Linked DNA regions of Drosophila melanogaster. The protein of the gene in region 1 purifies or fractionates together with the protein of each later gene. This does not show direct contact. Each region holds a gene or a part of one and is shown in the gene's direction. Other genes may lie near its edges.

Region 1 (4,084 bases):
TAGTTTAAAAAAAAATCTAACATGTTATAAAATATTATTTATAGCACGACACATTTCATTTCACCTAGGATTTGGTTATATGTTGCTTTAAACTTCAATTGTAAGTTTCTGTAACAGTTGCTTAGGATAGACTTTAAATTCATTGATTTTAATTTTCTCATTGTATAGAAATAGTAATACCCATCGATTAAATTATTTCTTTTTGAGAGATGCAGTTCTATTCGTTTTTCTCGACTATCACATTCCCGTTACAGTTCAACATTTTGTTGTGATATCGACACAAATTGTATAGTAAAATTATATCACTTACAGTTCCTGAAGTTTTAAAAAATGTTAGACGGAAAAAACTGCCAAATCAAATCACATGTTGCATATTTATTTTTTTAAAACTCCATAAAATCATCTAAGGAGTATACATATTTGTTTTTCATGCATGTAATGTTAGCTGAATTTTGAATACAAATTTACAAAATTTAATTGGTTAATCGCTTGGTTAATTTCACTATTATAGTAAGGTAATAGTAATAGTACAGTATAGTAAGGTAAAATATAAGGTAGTTCATTTAATGCAACAATGGCAAGGAAAATCCTTCAAGTCCCTAACATTGTTATAAAACTTAAATAGCTTATCAACACTTCCATTCGCAGTTCCGCCCTCCTTCAGTTTTGCTACCCTGGCAGGAAGTCAGCAAACATTAGGGAGTAACGCCGCAGTGGTCCTGCAGCGGATCCACTTGCCCAAGTTTCCTGGATTTTCCACACTCATTGGGACAGCTCCTGCTCACGGAATGGAGGACTCTGGCCTGGACATGCACATGTACAGGTCGTACGGATCGCTTAACACGGATCACACAGGTCGGAGTCTGGACACTTTCGGATCCCTCTGTGGTCCACTGTCCGAACATGTCGAGGAGCAGGAGCAGGAGGCAGAAGAGAACCTGGATGTGACTGCCCAGGTGCATCGGCCGATTCAACGGGCAACGGTTTCGGAGGTCGAGAACGTCCTACAGGACGAGCACCTGTTCTAATGGAAAAGTGTCTTATATACGTATTGCCAACCCCAGTAACAAGTAACATAAGTGTTCAAGACTAAGGCTTATAAAGGATTTTTAGGCCGGGTCCTAGTACGTCGTCTAGTTTTAGTGAGCTTTCATTGCGCAAATTTGTACACTCGCGTACCATCCAAAATTGATCGAATCGAACTTATTGAGTGCCATAATCTCCTTTTTCTAGTATACCTATAACCGCTTTTATACATCCGTCAAACATTTTCGATTTAAATATGTAATCGACTCGATACATATACTAATTATTGTAAGTACCAATTAATGCGTTCTCAAGTGGACAATAAATAATTGCAGTATACAAACAATCAGTTTGTGAATTGTATTTTGTGTTGCGTGGGGATGGAAAGATATTTAAACGAATTCTTGAAAGTTTAGCGAAATATTTGCTTATTGAGTTAGTGGCTTAAAACGTTTGAATGTGAACCAAAATTATTACGTAGCAAAATTGATGAATGTATTAAAATGAAAGGTCGATAACTTTTTCTTGGCTATTTACAGAGAAATTGTACTCATCACTGGTCTTGCGAGTCCTTGAATCCGTCATATAAACGAAGTTTTCGCACATATGTAGGCTACACCTGCCATCGGATGTAACGTATTTTAATTAAATTACAAATTGTTTGGTACGCGATAGCACTCCTCACCCGGCATAAGATAAGATATAGCTCTGGTGATAATAGCCATGGTAGTGGTACCATTCACACCTAGTATATCCGATAAGGCCGCGTCCAGTCCTGTTCTTAATGGGCGGGCATGTTGTCAACAACTGCCAGACATCGGTTAGCAGTCGAGCCGTCAACAGAGTCCAGAGAGCTGAAAATGAGCCACCGCTGTGAGATCCAATTGGACAACCCACGGGGGGTCTATAGGGCCGGCGATACGGTCAATGGTCACGTCTATCTGACCCTTTCGGAGCGGGCCCTAATCAAAGGTAGGTTGGAGCATGACTCATGGGCTATCCCGTATAACATGGCCATCCAGTGGCGCTGATTCACCGATCGAGATCTGGTTTCTTTTATGGACTTCCAAATTGCTGATAGTGTTTGTCGCACTGAAATCAAATTGCTAATACCTTTCAGTGAGCTTATCAACTACCAGGCAAATTTGATTAGTAACTTTTCATAATCGGAACTTGAAAAATATTTGTGCAAATTAATGTGGTATACTTATAAATTATAATAATCTTCATAAATCGTTAATTCTTTTGGCTTATGCTCTTTATTTCAGCAATATGCCTGGAGGCCAATGGATATGCGAGCACTGCCTGGCAGCAGCCCCAAAAGCACAAGAATCAAAAAAAGAACGAGCAGCCAGTGGTGGTTCAGAGTTTGGACTTTGATTATCGCGTGGATTATTTTGCCAAAATCGATTATTTTGTGGGCTCGGAGGCCGCACAGCCACAGATAATGGAGGCGGGCACCTACAATTACGGTTTCCATGTGAAGCTGCCCAAGAACTGTCCGGGGAATTTCGAGGGGGGCCACGGACACATACGGTACACACTCCAAGTGCTCATCCACAGCAGTGCAGATCGTCCGCTGGAGGTGCTCCATGTACGCCAGCTGCAGATTTTCCCGCAGAACTCTCTGAGCCAGGAGACGCGGAGCTGTGAGATCCAGATCTATGAGCAGACTCCTCGCCTTAGATTCTGGATGAAGCCACTTCATCTGCAGCTCCAGATTCCCAGGCAGGGTTATTCGCCAGGAGCAGGTATTTCTGTTCACTTAAAGCTGCATAACCCGGAGAAATTGACACTTCGCGAGGCGGTGTATTCCCTCGTTCAGATCAGCACTTACGTTGCCCATCTAAAGAATAAGCCCAAACGCTTGGAGACCAAGGTGGAGCGACAAACTGTCCTAAGCAGCCGCCACGAGCTCCACAACCTCCCCCGTGGAGAACTGCAGAATTTTCAGCATCTTCACATGCTGCAAGTGCCACAAACAGCGGCCACATTGACTGTGGCAGGATGTGCCTGCCTGCAGCTCAACTACGAGGTGGAGGTGCTGGTCACAACTCAGCAGGAAAAGCGCTTAATTGCGGCCCGGATGCCGGTCATCATTGGAAATGTGACGCCGCCCTGTCCTGGCAAACTCCTAATGCAAGAACCCATTGATGGCACTGCTCCGGAACCAACTCCTCCAGTCGAAACAGCATCAACATTGATTCCGAATTTTAGCATTTCCACCACATCTTTGGGTACGTCTATTCCCGATTTATAGAATATCCGTTTGCATTTTATATTTCGAATTTCTTTCTAGCTTCGAATTTCCGGGAAGCCGAGTTCATGGTAGCCACCAATCTGAATAAGACCAACAAACATTACTTGTCCGGCGAACAGTTGGATTTTAGACCACGCTATGTCTACTACGAAATGGACCAGACTCAATCGGAGGAAGTGAAGTCTCATTAAATGCACGCCACTATTTTATTTTACTAATTTATTTCATTCACTAGCAAAATTACACAAATATATATTATTCCATTATCACAAGTGGTAACTGATACTTTTACTGGTGGCAATTTTAAATCAAGGGAATGATTTATTTTAAGAATCAATATCATATACCTAGAACGATCTTTTAACGCATTCACTTTCAAGTACCAATTTTGAAATTTTGTTTATATTTAATAAAAGAAATATTGATGTGTGGGTATTGATAAGTAAGTGATAAGTATTGATAAGTGTGTTCTATGTGGAATCGAGAATATTAGCGATGTGATTCGATATTGTTGACTTAATTAGAAAGGATTTGCATAGAATCTGATTTATTGCCCATTGCCCAACAAATATATTGTAGTTGAACCTACAGATAGAGTTGGATAATTCGTCACATAAGTGCGAGTGTTACGCTAAGAATTTCGAATTTAAAATATATTTTCAAGGAAATTTTGTTCATTGATGACTTTCTAAACTAGAAAATTTGGTTGGATAACTTATATATATTCCTAAGATTTAGTTTCACGATAAACGGTTAAACTATGTTTATTGGTAACATCCAAAGCTAAATCAAAGTAAA
Region 2 (4,291 bases), on another chromosome or scaffold:
CAAGTGTCACGGAAATCGTCGACGACGACGATGAGGACGAATACGTTCCGGGCAATGTGACACGTGCGGACATGGGCAACGAGTCACAGGACAAAACAGAGTCCAACTCCGAGACCAAAGAACCGAAGAAAGATCAGGTTGAGCTCGGTGAACAGCAGCAAAACGAATCGGCCAATGAATCGGATGTCGAAATCCAAGAGCCGAACATTCCTTTCACGGATCTGGACACTTATGTGGAGAAAGAGATGGATGAGGCGACCAGGGCGGCGCTACTGAACGTAAAGATCAAGGAGGAGCCCAAGGATGAGTATGAGGAGGACGAGGATGATGGATTCGAAGACGTGGGCACGGTGGTTTCACTTTTACCTCTGCCCGAGGACGAGATCTCCATACACAGCAGCGGTAAGTTTCTAAACCTTTAACTGTCCTGTCCTCAGTATCACATTAGTTGCTCAATCATCTGGCATCCTGGCAGAAACTCAAACACACACCATCGGCTCGTCAGCCTCGCCGGCCACCATCGAGCGGCCAGCATCGGTGACCTCGCTCTCCCTGCCCGCCAATGAGGCGGACGAGTTGGAGCAGGGTGATGCAAACACCGATACGGATGCGGAATTGAATGGCGAGAAGCAGGAGGCCACGCATAACCTGAGCGCAGTGGGTCCGGCGTTACCTTTGGCTAGCATAGTTAATAAAATAAAGATAAATATCACTAAGAATACGAGTAGTAATAGTCATAATAGTGCCTCCAACACCACGACAACGGACTCGCAAGTCTCGGCCATAAGCGTCATCGGTGGATCAGGAGCAGCTGGCGGTGCATCCGGAGCAGGAGACCCTGTCCAGCAGGTGAATGCCATTCAAACCATTTCCACCATTCCAGTGCTGTGCGGCGGCAATACGTTCGTGCCCAAGATTGCGACCAGCACGCCCTCAAACGTAATCAGCTCGATCTCGGTAATTGGCAGCACTTACGGCGCAAGCAGCAGCAGCAATGGCAGCCGAAGCACTACTTCCACCGCATCCTCCGCACCAGCTGCTTCGCTTTTGGCGGAGACGGGCAGCCTGAAATCGCCAACTCCGCCGCTCGCCACAGTTGATCCGGATCCGGAGCCCGTCGTGGAACAAAAGCCGGCGCTGCGGAATGCCACGCTGAAGCGGACGAAAAAGGTGCAGAACGGCATCGAAACGTCGGGCCTGTGCTCGATCATGTAAATCAAATCGGCCGTCTGAGTGGAGGGACTTGGCGATATTCCTAATACGTTTTTACTACGATTACTTTTACACGTTACTTAGTTTTAGATAGCCAACGGAACGTTCTCCGCCGGAGAGCGACGCCTCGCCGCGATCTGTAGGTATTCAAATCCTTTTCGATGCGGCGCGCTCACATTCGTATACATAAATTATTACCGAAAAGAAGAATAAAAACCACTTGCAGAATAACATAAATTTGTGATAAATTTATAGCACTAGCAAGCCAAACACATTACTTTGACCACCAACAACAAGCTTAACTAATATGTAATTTTTTTATGCCCATTGGAGGAAACAATAAACAAAATGAATTCAAAAGCACATACTTAATTGATTTAATTATGATTTTTAGTTGTTAGTTGATTAATAATCGAAATATAACAAATAAAGATATATATTCAAGCTATAAACCGTGGTTTTTTTATTTGAAGCTGTTTTTTCGATTTTCAATTTACTTGGTTTAATTTTAATAATTTAAATATTCTGCCTTGCGTATAATTTTTGCGCCAATTTTAGGGTGGCCGTGTTGACTCGCAGTTTCATAGCATTCAGCCTGTTGATGTGCACTCGCCAAACAGCTGATACCACAAAAGTACTAAATTTGGACACGCGCCTTATATGCACGTGGAGACGTTCCTTCGTTTAAATTAAGTTTTTTATCAAAAATATTGAATTAAAGCCGCGCAACTAGTTACTTTCCACGATGTCGTCCTCTTTCTTCCTCAAGCCAGGCGCCAAGGGCACCAAGAAGCGCAAGGTAAGTGAATCAAGCAGCGTAGAGAGCGGCACCTGTAACGCTTTCAACAGAATCCCGCAGCAACAACAAAAGGAAAACCGCTTAAGAAAGGCGGAAAACCGGGTAAATCAACGCCCGCGGCTGGTGGACCAGTGCCAAAGAAGCAGCGCCGTCCCAAGGAGGAGGACGAGGAGATAGCTAGCGACGATGAGGAGTACAACAGCGATCTGGGCGGCGATGACAACACCTTGGCATTTTCATCCGACGAGGGCGAGGAGGAAACGCCGCAGGACAAGCGCCTGCGTCTGGCCAAACAGTATCTGTCGGAGATCGAGAAGCAAGAGGCGGAACGCGCCGAGGATCGGGAGCTGGCCCAAAGCGTGGAGCAGCGCTTGCAAACGGAATACTTGGATAGCGTGGGCAAACTGCGCCGGAACATTGCTGGCAGCCTGAAAGCCTGCGAATCGAGCCGCATCCTCAAGCACAAACTCCACCACACGCCTATCTGTGCCCTTGCACTCAGTCCGGATGGTAAATTCCTCTACACGGGAGCCAAATCGCAATTCCTACTTAAGTGGTGCACGGAAACGGGGAAGGTGCTGGAGAAATCGGACGTGCTGTCGCATCGCGAGGAACCAGAAACGGGCAAGAAAAGGCGATCGCATGTCATCAGCATATGCCTGTCCTCGGACATGAAGTATCTGGCCTTGGCCGAAGGTGGTCCACACATTCAAATTTGGTGTCCCCAGACGATGAAGCACATTAAGACTCTTAAAGGCCACCGGGATAGTGTGGCAGGTCTGGTCTTTCGCAAAGGCACACATGACTTGTACTCGGCAGCCAAGGATCGATCGGTGAAAATCTGGTCCCTGGATGAGATGGCCTATGTGGAGAGTTTGTGAGTACTATGCTAGTTAATCCCCCTTAATATCAGACATTTAACGAGCTCCTCCTTTCAGATTCGGTCACCAAACGGCAGTAACTAGCATAGATGCACTGAGTCGAGAGCGCGCCATTACCGCTGGCGGTTCGGATTGCTCCTTGCGCATTTGGAAGATCACAGAGGAATCGCAGCTGATCTACAATGGACACAAAGATAGCATTGAGTGCGTTAAGTACATCAACGATGAGCATTTTGTGTCTGGTGGCATGGATGGGTAAGTTGGGAGTCTGGCTAACTAATTCAGTATGGAAGTAACAACACCATTTTACAGAGCAATCGGTTTATGGAGCGCTTTGAAAAAGAAGCCCATTTGTACAACGCAACTGGCGCACGGAGTGGGCGAGAATGGCGTGGCCAACTGGATAACCGCCATTGCTGTGGTGGTCAACACGGATTTAGTGGCAACAGGTGGGAATTGCGCATATTTCTTACTGCGAACTGTAATTAAATATTCATGATTCTAGGTTCTTGTGACGGTTGCGTCCGTCTTTGGCAGACTAATCCCAACGCGCGTAAAATGAACCTAATCCAGAGCATATCCATCGCCGGCTTCATCAACGGACTGGCTTTCAATGCCGATGGCAGCAAGCTGTTTGTGGCCACCGGACAGGAGCACCGCCTGGGTCGCTGGTGGCGACTCAAGGAGGCAAAAAACCAAGTAGTTGTACTCGACGTTAAGTTACAGAGCGCGGCCAGCAGTTAGGTTAACTTCTAAGCTTAAGTAAAGTTGTATAGTTTTTGTAACAAGAAACGGCCTGAAAATATATACATAAAGATCATTTGTATCTTCTACCTGAAGGTTCTTACTTTCAAACATATAAAATTTATTTGTTCTTTATAAACAAGATCAAACGAATGTTTTTGAATTTATTAAATTTGCTTCAGATTGAAATTTAACTCCTTATATTAAAGTAAGGGGTATCTGGTCGTCTATTTCCATTAGCTCAAATATTTTTTCTAAAACCGATATTCGGTTTGTTATAACCGCAAATGGTTCCTTAGTGTTGGCTACTTTCAATAGCTAGTCATGGTCACACTGGCCCTGTTACAAAACAATAAGTGCTGAAATGTTGCCGAAATTAAAAACCGGTGGAGGGTTCTTCTCCTATTTTAAGACTGAAAAGGGCCGAAAACTCGTATTCTACGCGGCGGGAGCCACCACAGTGGGCCTCTTTCTTGGAAACTTCCTGCCGCACACATTCGGCCTGAAATATTACCGCGATTTCGTGCAATGCTACCAGTGGGTGAGAAAACTTTTGGTGACTGGAAGCGATTCTAACATCCCACTTCTTTTCATAGACACGGCGTGGGGCGTCCAGTGCCGGAGGCAGTGCAGCAGCGCCTGGAAAAGGCATTGG
Region 3 (5,632 bases), on another chromosome or scaffold:
ATTGCGGATATAAATCTTCGGCTGGCGCGGCTTCTCCGGCTCCCCGACAACATCAGGAACTTCAGGGAGACTATTGTCCGTATTGACCGAATGGTTCTGCAGCTGGAAGTCGAACGGCAGCAAAGCGGTCTCCCTGAGCACGTCCACGCTCTTGATGGAGATCTTCTGGATGGGCTTTGGCGGCGGAGCTGGTAAATTCGCAGCAGGTGCTGTTGGCATTGTCTGTTCGGTCGGCGATGCACCTACAGCCACACCTTCCAGCAGATCAAGAATGTTAGCGGCGGACCCGCTATCCGGCATTAAGGGCGGGAAATCCGGGAGTGGCTCCCTTAGGCAATCTACGCTTTTTATAAAGATGCGGCTCTTGGGTCGATTTTGGCTCTGCGACATCTGAGTCTGCTTTTTAGTTTGTGCTTCAGTGACTTTTCTGCCCATAAGCGCAAGTGTCTCACTGTCCTCCATTTGATGGTCCAAGCTGAGGTGCAAGCTGAGCGCATCGCTGGTGTAGAAAATGTTTGAGCAGCCTGTCGAAAAACACGTGAAAAGTGAATGCAAATATGATGAAGCATTCCAGCAGAGCACTCATATTGAAGGCGCACTATGCCTCACCTGGACACTGTTTCCTGTGCTGCTCCATATAGCAGTTGCCCTGACTAAGGTGTTGCTGAAGACGCATCTGGCAGAGGCTTAAGAATGGACAATTAGGACAGCGCAGGATAAGAGGCGGACCCTCCTGAATGATTGCCTTGCCCTCCACGCTGGCGCAGCTGGAATTTCGAGTTGGTGGCGTTGGCGTGGCATTCAGGCGATCCTTGGCTGCCGCTTCCGCAAGTTCCGACTTGATTAGTTCCTCCGACTTAATTTCCGCTGTACGCCTGCGGAAGGCATTGCGGTAGCTTTTCTCTGGTTGCTGCAAGTCGGTGGTGTGGATCTGGACAAAGGGAATGCCCTGATTGGGCTGGGACTCCACCGCCACCTCAGTAGGTGATCGATTCCCGCCATCGGCCAGCCACAAAGTAGTTCCAGAAGGGGTGGTGTTTGCAGCAGACGCGGAGGCAGATCCGGATCCCGATCCGATGACCAGCTCTTCGTCAAAGAATCCCCCGAAGTTGGAGTCCTGCTCCAAGGAGTGAACCGGCGTGGAAAGCGACAGGTCTTGGTGCGGATGTGTAGGATGCGGATGCGACAACGGGAGCAGCTGGAAGACACACGGCGTGTTTTTCTGGCCAGAGGTACTCGCTGGTTGCTCACCTGGTTGCCGCCGTAATATCCCGGATAGGTCGCATCGCTCATCGTGGGTGCCTTCCTTGGTCCAGTTGATTCCCGGTGCCGGATTCCGGTTGCCGGTTGCCGGTTTTCCGCTTCCTGGGCACACGCCTCTTAATTCCGCATCACAAAAATTGGCATTACGCAGAAAAAAAACTTTTCATCACAAAATAACTGATAGCGAACAGCTGTTGCTGTACACAGTGTGGCAGCGGTGTTTGCACAACTATATTCGGTCACACTGTCGCGTTATGTTATGTCGTGTGTATAGGCCCTTTATTAAATTGAATAATTTAAGTTACCAATATTAAGACCGAAGTTAAATCAAACGGTATACGAAGACTAAATACAATATAATGAAATTTTTTTGTACTAAGCTAGAATAGTTTAACTAGAGGTTCTATAAATATACCAAAACGTGCTGGAGATATCGCTGTTATCGAAGACTAACCATCGCTAGCGGCTACTGCAAAAAAAAGAGCGGAGTTTCGTGGACTCGAGTGAAAATTGTGAAAATCCATTGTATACGCGACAGAAAGCAACATAAGGCCCCAGAATGCCGCGAATAATGATCAAGGGCGGCGTGTGGCGCAACACGGAGGTAATTATCCCAATAGTCTATCGGTTAACCACACATGGCTTACATTGGCTACCGATTTCATTTTCCCAGGATGAAATCCTCAAAGCTGCGGTTATGAAATATGGCAAGAACCAGTGGAGTCGAATTGCCTCCCTCCTGCACAGAAAGTCCGCCAAGCAGTGCAAGGCCAGGTGGTACGAGTGGCTGGATCCCAGCATCAAGAAGACCGAGTGGTCCCGTGAGGAGGACGAGAAACTGCTCCACTTGGCCAAGCTGATGCCGACGCAGTGGCGCACCATAGCCCCGATCATCGGACGGACGGCAGCCCAGTGCCTGGAGCGCTATGAGTACTTGCTGTGAGTCCAACGCACAACATACTAAGTAGAAAATTTCTGATCCCTTTCCTGCCGTACAGAGACCAAGCCCAACGCAAAGAGGATGGCGAGGACACGATGGATGATCCTCGCAAGTTGAAGCCCGGAGAGATTGACCCCAATCCAGAGACCAAGCCGGCGCGGCCCGATCCCAAGGACATGGACGAGGACGAGCTGGAAATGCTGTCCGAGGCACGCGCCCGCTTGGCCAACACGCAAGGCAAGAAAGCCAAGCGCAAGGCTCGCGAAAAGCAACTGGAGGAAGCCCGCCGCCTGGCCACTCTCCAAAAGCGGCGCGAACTTCGTGCCGCCGGAATTGGCAGCGGAAATCGCAAGCGGATCAAGGGAATAGACTACAACGCCGAGATTCCCTTCGAAAAGCGACCTGCCCACGGATTCTACGACACTTCCGAGGAACACTTGCAGAAAAATGAACCCGACTTCAACAAGATGCGGCAGCAGGACCTAGATGGAGAACTCCGCTCAGAGAAGGAGGAACGCGAACGCAAGCGGGACAAGCAGAAGCTGAAGCAGCGCAAAGAGAATGAAGTGCCCACCGCAATGCTGCAAAACATGGAGCCCGAGCGGAAGCGCTCCAAACTAGTCCTGCCTACGCCGCAGATTTCCGACATGGAACTACAGCAGGTAGTCAAGCTGGGACGCGCCAGTGAGATGGCAAAGGAAATTGCCGGTGAGAGCGGCATAGAGACGACGGATGCTTTGCTAGCCGACTACTCCATTACACCCCAGGTAGCAGCCACTCCACGTACTCCGGCTCCGTACACCGATCGCATCATGCAGGAGGCCCAAAACATGATGGCCCTCACCCACACAGAGACGCCACTCAAAGGTGGCCTGAACACACCGCTGCACGAGTCAGACTTCTCCGGCGTGCTGCCCAAGGCGGCCTCCATCGCCACGCCTAACACAGTGATTGCCACGCCGTTTAGAACCCAACGCGAGGGCGGAGCAGCCACTCCCGGCGGATTCCAAACGCCCTCCTCCGGAGCCCTAGTTCCCGTAAAGGGGGCAGGAGGGGCTACGGGTGTCGTCAATACACCTGCCTACGTGAGGGACAAGCTAAGCATCAATCCTGAGGAGAGTATGGGCGTCACCGAGACCCCAGCACATTACAAAAACTACCAAAAGCAACTAAAGTCTACACTGCGTGACGGTCTCTCCACGCTGCCCGCTCCACGGAATGACTATGAGATCGTGGTGCCTGAGCAGGAGGAAAGCGAACGCATTGAGACCAACTCAGAACCCGCCGTCGAGGATCAGGCGGATGTCGACGCCAGGTTATTGGCTGAACAAGAGGCGCGCCGAAAGCGAGAGCTAGAGAAGCGCTCCCAGGTTATTCAGCGTAGTCTCCCGCGACCAACTGAAGTGAACACCAAGATTCTGCGACCGCAGTCCGAGAAACAGAACCTTACGGAACAGCAGCAGGCCGAAGAGCTGATTAAACACGAAATGATCACCATGCAGCGTGAGTAAACCCAACGTTTCCATTTTAACCCAAGTAACTAACGTCCTTTTTCTTGGCAGTGTACGACTCGGTCAAGGATCCCGTGCCTGGTCAATCGCAGCACAAGTTGGAACAGCTACAAAGCTACTTTAAGGCCAATCCCTACGAGGACATCTCGCAGCAAGAGTTGGCGAAGGCCAAGCAAATGCTCACCGAGGAAATGGAGGTGGTGAAGGAGCGCATGGCGCATGGCGAACTGCCCCTAGACGTTTATGCCCAGGTGTGGCAGGAGTGCCTCGGCCAGGTTCTTTACCTACCCTCCCAACATCGCTACACACGCGCCAATTTGGCCAGCAAGAAGGATCGATTAGAGTCTGCCGAGAAACGGCTGGAGACAAATCGCCGCCACATGGCCAAGGAAGCCAAGCGCTGCGGCAAGATCGAGAAGAAGCTGAAGATTCTCACCGGCGGCTACCAGGCGCGCGCCCAGGTGCTGATTAAGCAGCTTCAGGACACGTACGGCCAGATTGAGCAGAACTCTGTCTCACTCTCGACATTCCGCTTTTTGGGCGAACAGGAGGCCATCGCTGTGCCGCGACGCCTGGAATCGCTGCAAGAGGACGTGCGTCGCCAGATGGACCGCGAGAAGGAGCTGCAGCAAAAGTACGCTAGCTTAGTGGAGGAGCGCGATTCGCTTTACTCTCAAATCGAACATATAACTGGCGTCAGGCCCACGGCCCAGCAACTCCTGCCCGACCAGGAAGCGTAAACCTTCTTTTGGAACCCAAGTCCGTTCTTATTTAATTACAGTAATTACATGCCAGCAAACAGCTATCACCACCTAATATCCCGATCCATATTCCTCGCTAGCGGCCGTACTTCTGGTAGACCCACTCCTTGTTGTCCAGCGGACAGACCAGGCGCGTTTTCAACCAGCGCGCGATGCAGTGGTAATGGAATGCGTGGTTGCACTCGCCCCAAGCCACAGTGCACTCGTCTTGGTTTGCATTCGGGTCCGCCTGGCACTCGATGCACAGGTTCATGATGTGGTTACGGCAGATGGCACAGTTGTCCACTGCTACGTCCCATCCCCACATGGCGTGCGCAACCCATTTCTTCACCACAAAGCGCTCCGTCCTGGCCTGGACAGCTCCTCCACTACAGGATGGCTCTTCGTCATTGAAGTCCATGTCGTGGAAGTCCTCCGTCTCCTCAACCTCTATCTCCTCGGCCATGGTGTGAAATTACGAATTTTTTTTCTTTTTCAAAATACAACACTTATTTTCGTATTCGAATTTGATTTGAACTATTTTAAATTCCATTTGTTTTTGGCCTGACAGTTAATAAAAAAAAGTTGACCACTACCGATTTATCTACGAAATAACAACGGCGAATAATTTTAAAAATAAATGCAGAAAAGAAATTAAACCTTGTGATCATATTAAGTGGGGCTCAAGAAAGCTTATCATCGGTAAACCACTTTTGAATCCCTAAATTTAGACAATTTTTTTAAACAAGAAAGAATGTTATAGTCGAATTTCTCGACTATCAGATACCAGATAGTGGGAGTGAGTTTGAGAGAGAAATTTCAAAATTATCTTGGCATATCGATAGAAATTTGTATTCCTTTTAACGAGTTTAATATACCCCTCTATGAGTAATGGGTATGATAACAAATTACGGTTTTTATAATGCCTTTCTTAAACAAAATAGCTGTTTCCCAAACTCGAATGTCATTATTATTAAGGAAGCTTTACTGCTAACGGGAAGTCATGGCTTAGGCTTAGGGTATATCAAATAAATTCTTTACACGTTCTTCTCAGTTTGGGAAAGGTTTTTTACCCTCTTCAGGTGCTTCTTGCCAATAAAGTGCTGTTGCAAGGTGCTCTCATGGTTCATCATCATGTTGCAGGGCTGGCAGTAGTACTGACCCATTGGAGTGCGATA
Region 4 (3,836 bases), about 20 Mb from region 1:
TCATCGGATTCTGATGGTGCTCGTATTCGTTTCGCCTGAAGATCCTGACCCTCCGAAGGAGGCTCAGTTGGCACCGGCGACTTCTCCTCCTTTCTATCGCTGCAGTTGTCCAAATTGAACGCAACCTTGCATGCACGCAGATGCTCCATGGCGGCCCGCGATGTGGACGGCTCGTCATCGCTAAGCACTTTCAGTGAATCAGGCTGCGGGGAAGCAGCTTCGTCAGTGGCGTTGCCGTTGGTATTTTTTTTAGCAACGGCTTGTTTGGAGTGCAGGATCTGTGGCGACTCAAGCAGCAGTTCCTTGAGATTCTCGATAGCGCTAAAACACTGCAGATCTGAGTTGTTGATGGGCGTCTGGCGAAGATCTAGTGACTGAAATAAATAACCCTTTATAAAGAATATTCGCCGATTGCACCTATGCCAACCTCTAGTTTTTGGAAACCGAAACGTGCCGCCATGCTGCCATAGGGCACAAACTTGCATAGCGCCTGACAGCCCTTAAGACTAAGACGCCGCAAGGAAGGTAACTTCGACAGGCCCATAATATAATAGGGCTCGAACCAGCTGTTGTCCTCAATACTGAGATCCTAAATAAGACGGGGTTAGGCTATTCATTGGACTGTCGTTCGCTCAAACTCACCTCTAGATCAAGCAGATGCAGCTCTATGGAGTAAAATATGCTTTTTGGCGTGTCGCCGACCCTAACGCTACAGTCCTTTAGCTTCAGACGCCTCAGAGTGGCCGGGAACTCAGTTATGTGTATCTGAAGAAAAGATAAAATTGGGGTAGACCAGGGAAACTTGCGAGATGCCAGCACTCACGTATTCGAAGTCCAGGCTGACGCCCTCCAGCTCCAGCACTTTAAGCTGTACAACCCTGGGGAAAACGGAGCTTAGCGTTTGGGTGAACTGGCGGAATTCGCCTGCAACATGCTGCGAGGACGGAGGTCCGCAGATTTTAATGGTGTGTGTCTTTTCGGTGGCTCGTCCAAGAATCTCTTCTAGGATGCCCATAGGCAGGGGCCCGTTGCTTAAGTCTATGTGATGATAGAAGCGGTGATCCAGCAGGAGGTTTTCAAAGCGCGGCGAGCAACTGGAATATTACGGAATGTTATAATATGGAAAGGACATGGAAATCTCAGCGACGCAGAGATCTTTGTTGATAGCGGACTACTTACTGCATCACCGCCAGAATGGAGGACGTGTCCAGGTACTGGAAGATCTCGAAGAGCAGCTCATCACAGAAGTCCATGAGGTTGCACTCCGTTTCCCGGTCGAGGGATTCCTTATGCTCCTTCTCCCTTTTGCGCTGTTTTATCTCCGGCTCCTCCTCGGTAGGGATTTGTGGCAGCACTGGCTGCACGGGCACGGCGGCCAGCTCCCGCCCACAACGTTCGTTGTCCGGGAAGCGGCGCTTAGGCGCTGCAAGGCACGTACTGCCCAATTCGGCCTGTTCCATGCTTGGGCTGCTCCTGCACTTTATTGCCAATTTTCGCCAGCAGCTTTTTTTCCAGCTAAATGCAATTGGTCAAGTGTGACCGCAGTCAGATCCCGAGATAAGCCGCTAGTAGGGGTATTCCTATGTCGAAGAGATGAAACTGGCTTCCGAATTTCCCGGTAATTTTTAATGTCGTTTTTATTATTATATTATTTTTTTTCTTGATTATTACGATTTGATACTAAAGGCGGTGGCACTAGCTGCTCATAGTTATACAATTGAGTCGTCTGGTAAAATGGGAACAATAACAAGTAGTTAATAATCGTTTAATTCTTATGTAGATAATAAAGTTGCCTATTTTGCTATTTTCCTATTTCAAACAAATATTGCATATTATGAATGAAATTTAAAAATAAGGCGCATTACGCATGTGCATGTGCATTAAAAAAGTTATTATACAAATAGAATAAACACATTAAATTAAATAAGATTCCTGTTGTCATTACTAGCAAGCAGTGTTGGAAAACACCGTGCTGCCCTCACTAATTTCTACACCCGTCTCGTGTATTTTTGTGCCTGATTTACTGACTGAAAATGCACCTGCTGCGGAGCCTGCGCCAGCTGAATGGCCTCCAAGGAGTGCGCCAAGCTATCCGGCAGGTGTCCTCGGCGCCCACCAAGCCCGCCGCCCTGCAGTACGAGCGCGATCCGCAGCCGCTTTTCACGGATGCCGAAACCCAGCGGCTGCTCCAGTCCATGACGCAACTGAACTTGGACAAGGTGTATCGGAAGCGCACGGTGCCGGACAACAGCAGCGAAACGAAGTTCATGAGCAACGAGCAGCTGGACAACGAGTTCCAGAACTTGGTGGTGCGGGCTCAGCAAATTCTGCAAATGCCACCCATTGTGCAGATCAAAAAAGATGTGGAGCGGGTGATAGCCAAGGATACGGCGCTGAAGGACTTCGCCAACTCCAAGTTCGTATTCACGGACATCACCTTCGGCCGACGGCAGTCGGAACGCAAGGTAATCGTCCGGGATATGGACGGAACCTTGGCCTACGCCACTCTTGATACCACGAAGCGCATGAACCAGTTGTATTTCCCGCTGGAGGGTCGCCAGTCATATACTCCACGAATGTTCGCGCTGGAGGAGCTGCTGGCCAAGTGCTTGGCGGAGCACAAGTACGAGTTCATCCTGGATCGACTCTTGGTGCAGTACGAGCCACATGAGCCGGAGTTCCACAACATTTCAGCGCGTGTGTTCGAGCATCTCAACGAGTCCAAGGAGTTCGATCTTCTGCGCTCCACCCGCCACTTTGGACCCATGGCCTTCTTCTACGCTTGGCACCGCTGCATCGACGACCTGCTGTATGACATGATCCGTCGGGATTATCTGCACAATGCCGTGGAGCTGATTGCTCTGAGCTACAAGCTACACAACATCCCAGTGGAGTATCAGGCAACGCTGACCGAACTGGGCAAACTGCATGCCACGCCGGCGGAAAGTGCCCTGGCGGAGCTAAGAAGCGTCTTCCGACGACATGACAATAAGCAGAACATTGAGCAGGAGATCCATACGGCCATTGGCAAGACGGAGCACGATTTCGCCGCCGATGAGATCAGCCTGAAGTTCATTGAGCAGTACATCGCCAGCGAACATGCGCTGAAGAAGGTGCAACTGGAGCTGGCGGTGCAGACGCTTAAGGAAGTTAACCGGGAGAAACTGATGCTGTTCCAGGGACTGAAAAAGGCTCACGGCGTCCAGGCTTCGTAGGATCTATTCGCTTTATTGTTATCGATTTCTATGTACTAATAAATACCAGCTAGGTCAAGATTTCTATACGCTGTTCATAGCTCCTTCTTGAGGACCCTGGACAGCCGTCTAAAATGGCCAAGGATGCACTGTCTCCGGTGCCGCAGGCATACCCGCTCGCTGCTGAAACGCTTCAAGCAAACTGAGCAACGTCTGGGATCACCTCTTCCATTGGGCAACCCGTTGTGTTCGCGAAATAGGACGACCACTTTCGCCTTGGCACAACTCTGTTCTTTTTTTCGGTGTACCAAAAGAGAGGTGGTGGTCTTGAAGTAACGTTTGCACTGAAGACATCTGTAGCACTTCCTGCCGCTATGGTTTCTCAGGTGCCTGAGCAACTGCATCTCTGAGTGGCTCATGGCGTTGCAGAGTAGATGTGGGCATTTAAAGAGCATCGATGACTTCCTGGGCGCTAGAGCGGGACAGCTCAGACTGTGTTGCTTCAATTGTTTCTGGTGGTCCAGACGCTGACCACAGCGAAAGCACAGAGCACCAGGTCCATAGTGCGCGGTCATGTGGCTCTGGTGCTCCAGCAAGGTTTTGGCCACATCGCCGCACACCGCGCACTCCATCATGCCGTTG

Evidence for each region.
Region 2: the proteins of CG18744 (region 1) and U3-55K purify together in Drosophila melanogaster (affinity purification with mass spectrometry, with the first as the bait; one large-scale study listed by BioGRID). This does not show direct contact.
Region 3: the proteins of CG18744 (region 1) and Cdc5 purify together in Drosophila melanogaster (affinity purification with mass spectrometry, with the first as the bait; one large-scale study listed by BioGRID). This does not show direct contact.
Region 4: the proteins of CG18744 (region 1) and mRpS22 purify together in Drosophila melanogaster (affinity purification with mass spectrometry, with the first as the bait; one large-scale study listed by BioGRID). This does not show direct contact.

The regions. Positions count from the first base shown.
Region 1 is NT_033777.3:7,796,550-7,800,633, reverse strand, and holds CG18744 (uncharacterized protein), read left to right. Parts: upstream 1-1,862; 5' UTR 1,863-1,886; coding exon 1,887-1,998; intron 1,999-2,294; coding exon 2,295-3,263; intron 3,264-3,325; coding exon 3,326-3,477; 3' UTR 3,478-3,556; downstream 3,557-4,084. Other genes in the region: CG3014 (uncharacterized protein), read left to right, coding at 649-1,028.
Region 2 is NT_033778.4:14,858,306-14,862,596, reverse strand, and holds U3-55K (U3 small nuclear riboprotein factor 55K), read left to right. Parts: upstream 1-1,838; 5' UTR 1,839-1,957; coding exon 1,958-2,011; intron 2,012-2,061; coding exon 2,062-2,888; intron 2,889-2,949; coding exon 2,950-3,147; intron 3,148-3,204; coding exon 3,205-3,341; intron 3,342-3,397; coding exon 3,398-3,636; 3' UTR 3,637-3,752; downstream 3,753-4,291. Other genes in the region: Pcf11 cleavage and polyadenylation factor subunit, read left to right, coding at 1-402, 476-1,215; CG33506 (uncharacterized protein), read left to right, coding at 4,001-4,173, 4,233-4,291.
Region 3 is NT_037436.4:357,319-362,950, reverse strand, and holds Cdc5 (cell division cycle 5), read left to right. Parts: upstream 1-1,567; 5' UTR 1,568-1,822; coding exon 1,823-1,867; intron 1,868-1,936; coding exon 1,937-2,202; intron 2,203-2,261; coding exon 2,262-3,706; intron 3,707-3,765; coding exon 3,766-4,454; 3' UTR 4,455-4,551; coding exon of another isoform or gene 4,552-4,920; 3' UTR 4,921-5,100; downstream 5,101-5,632. Other genes in the region: CG1233 (uncharacterized protein), read right to left, coding at 1-524, 610-1,198, 1,252-1,293; Roc1b (regulator of cullins 1b), read right to left, coding at 4,552-4,920; CG1231 (uncharacterized protein), read right to left, coding at 5,492-5,632.
Region 4 is NT_033777.3:27,914,969-27,918,804, forward strand, and holds mRpS22 (mitochondrial ribosomal protein S22), read left to right. Parts: upstream 1-1,939; 5' UTR 1,940-2,033; coding exon 2,034-3,215; 3' UTR 3,216-3,280; downstream 3,281-3,836. Other genes in the region: CG5003 (uncharacterized protein), read right to left, coding at 1-374, 428-589, 643-765, 824-1,094, 1,180-1,460; Boh1 (buddy of Hmr 1), read right to left, coding at 3,290-3,836.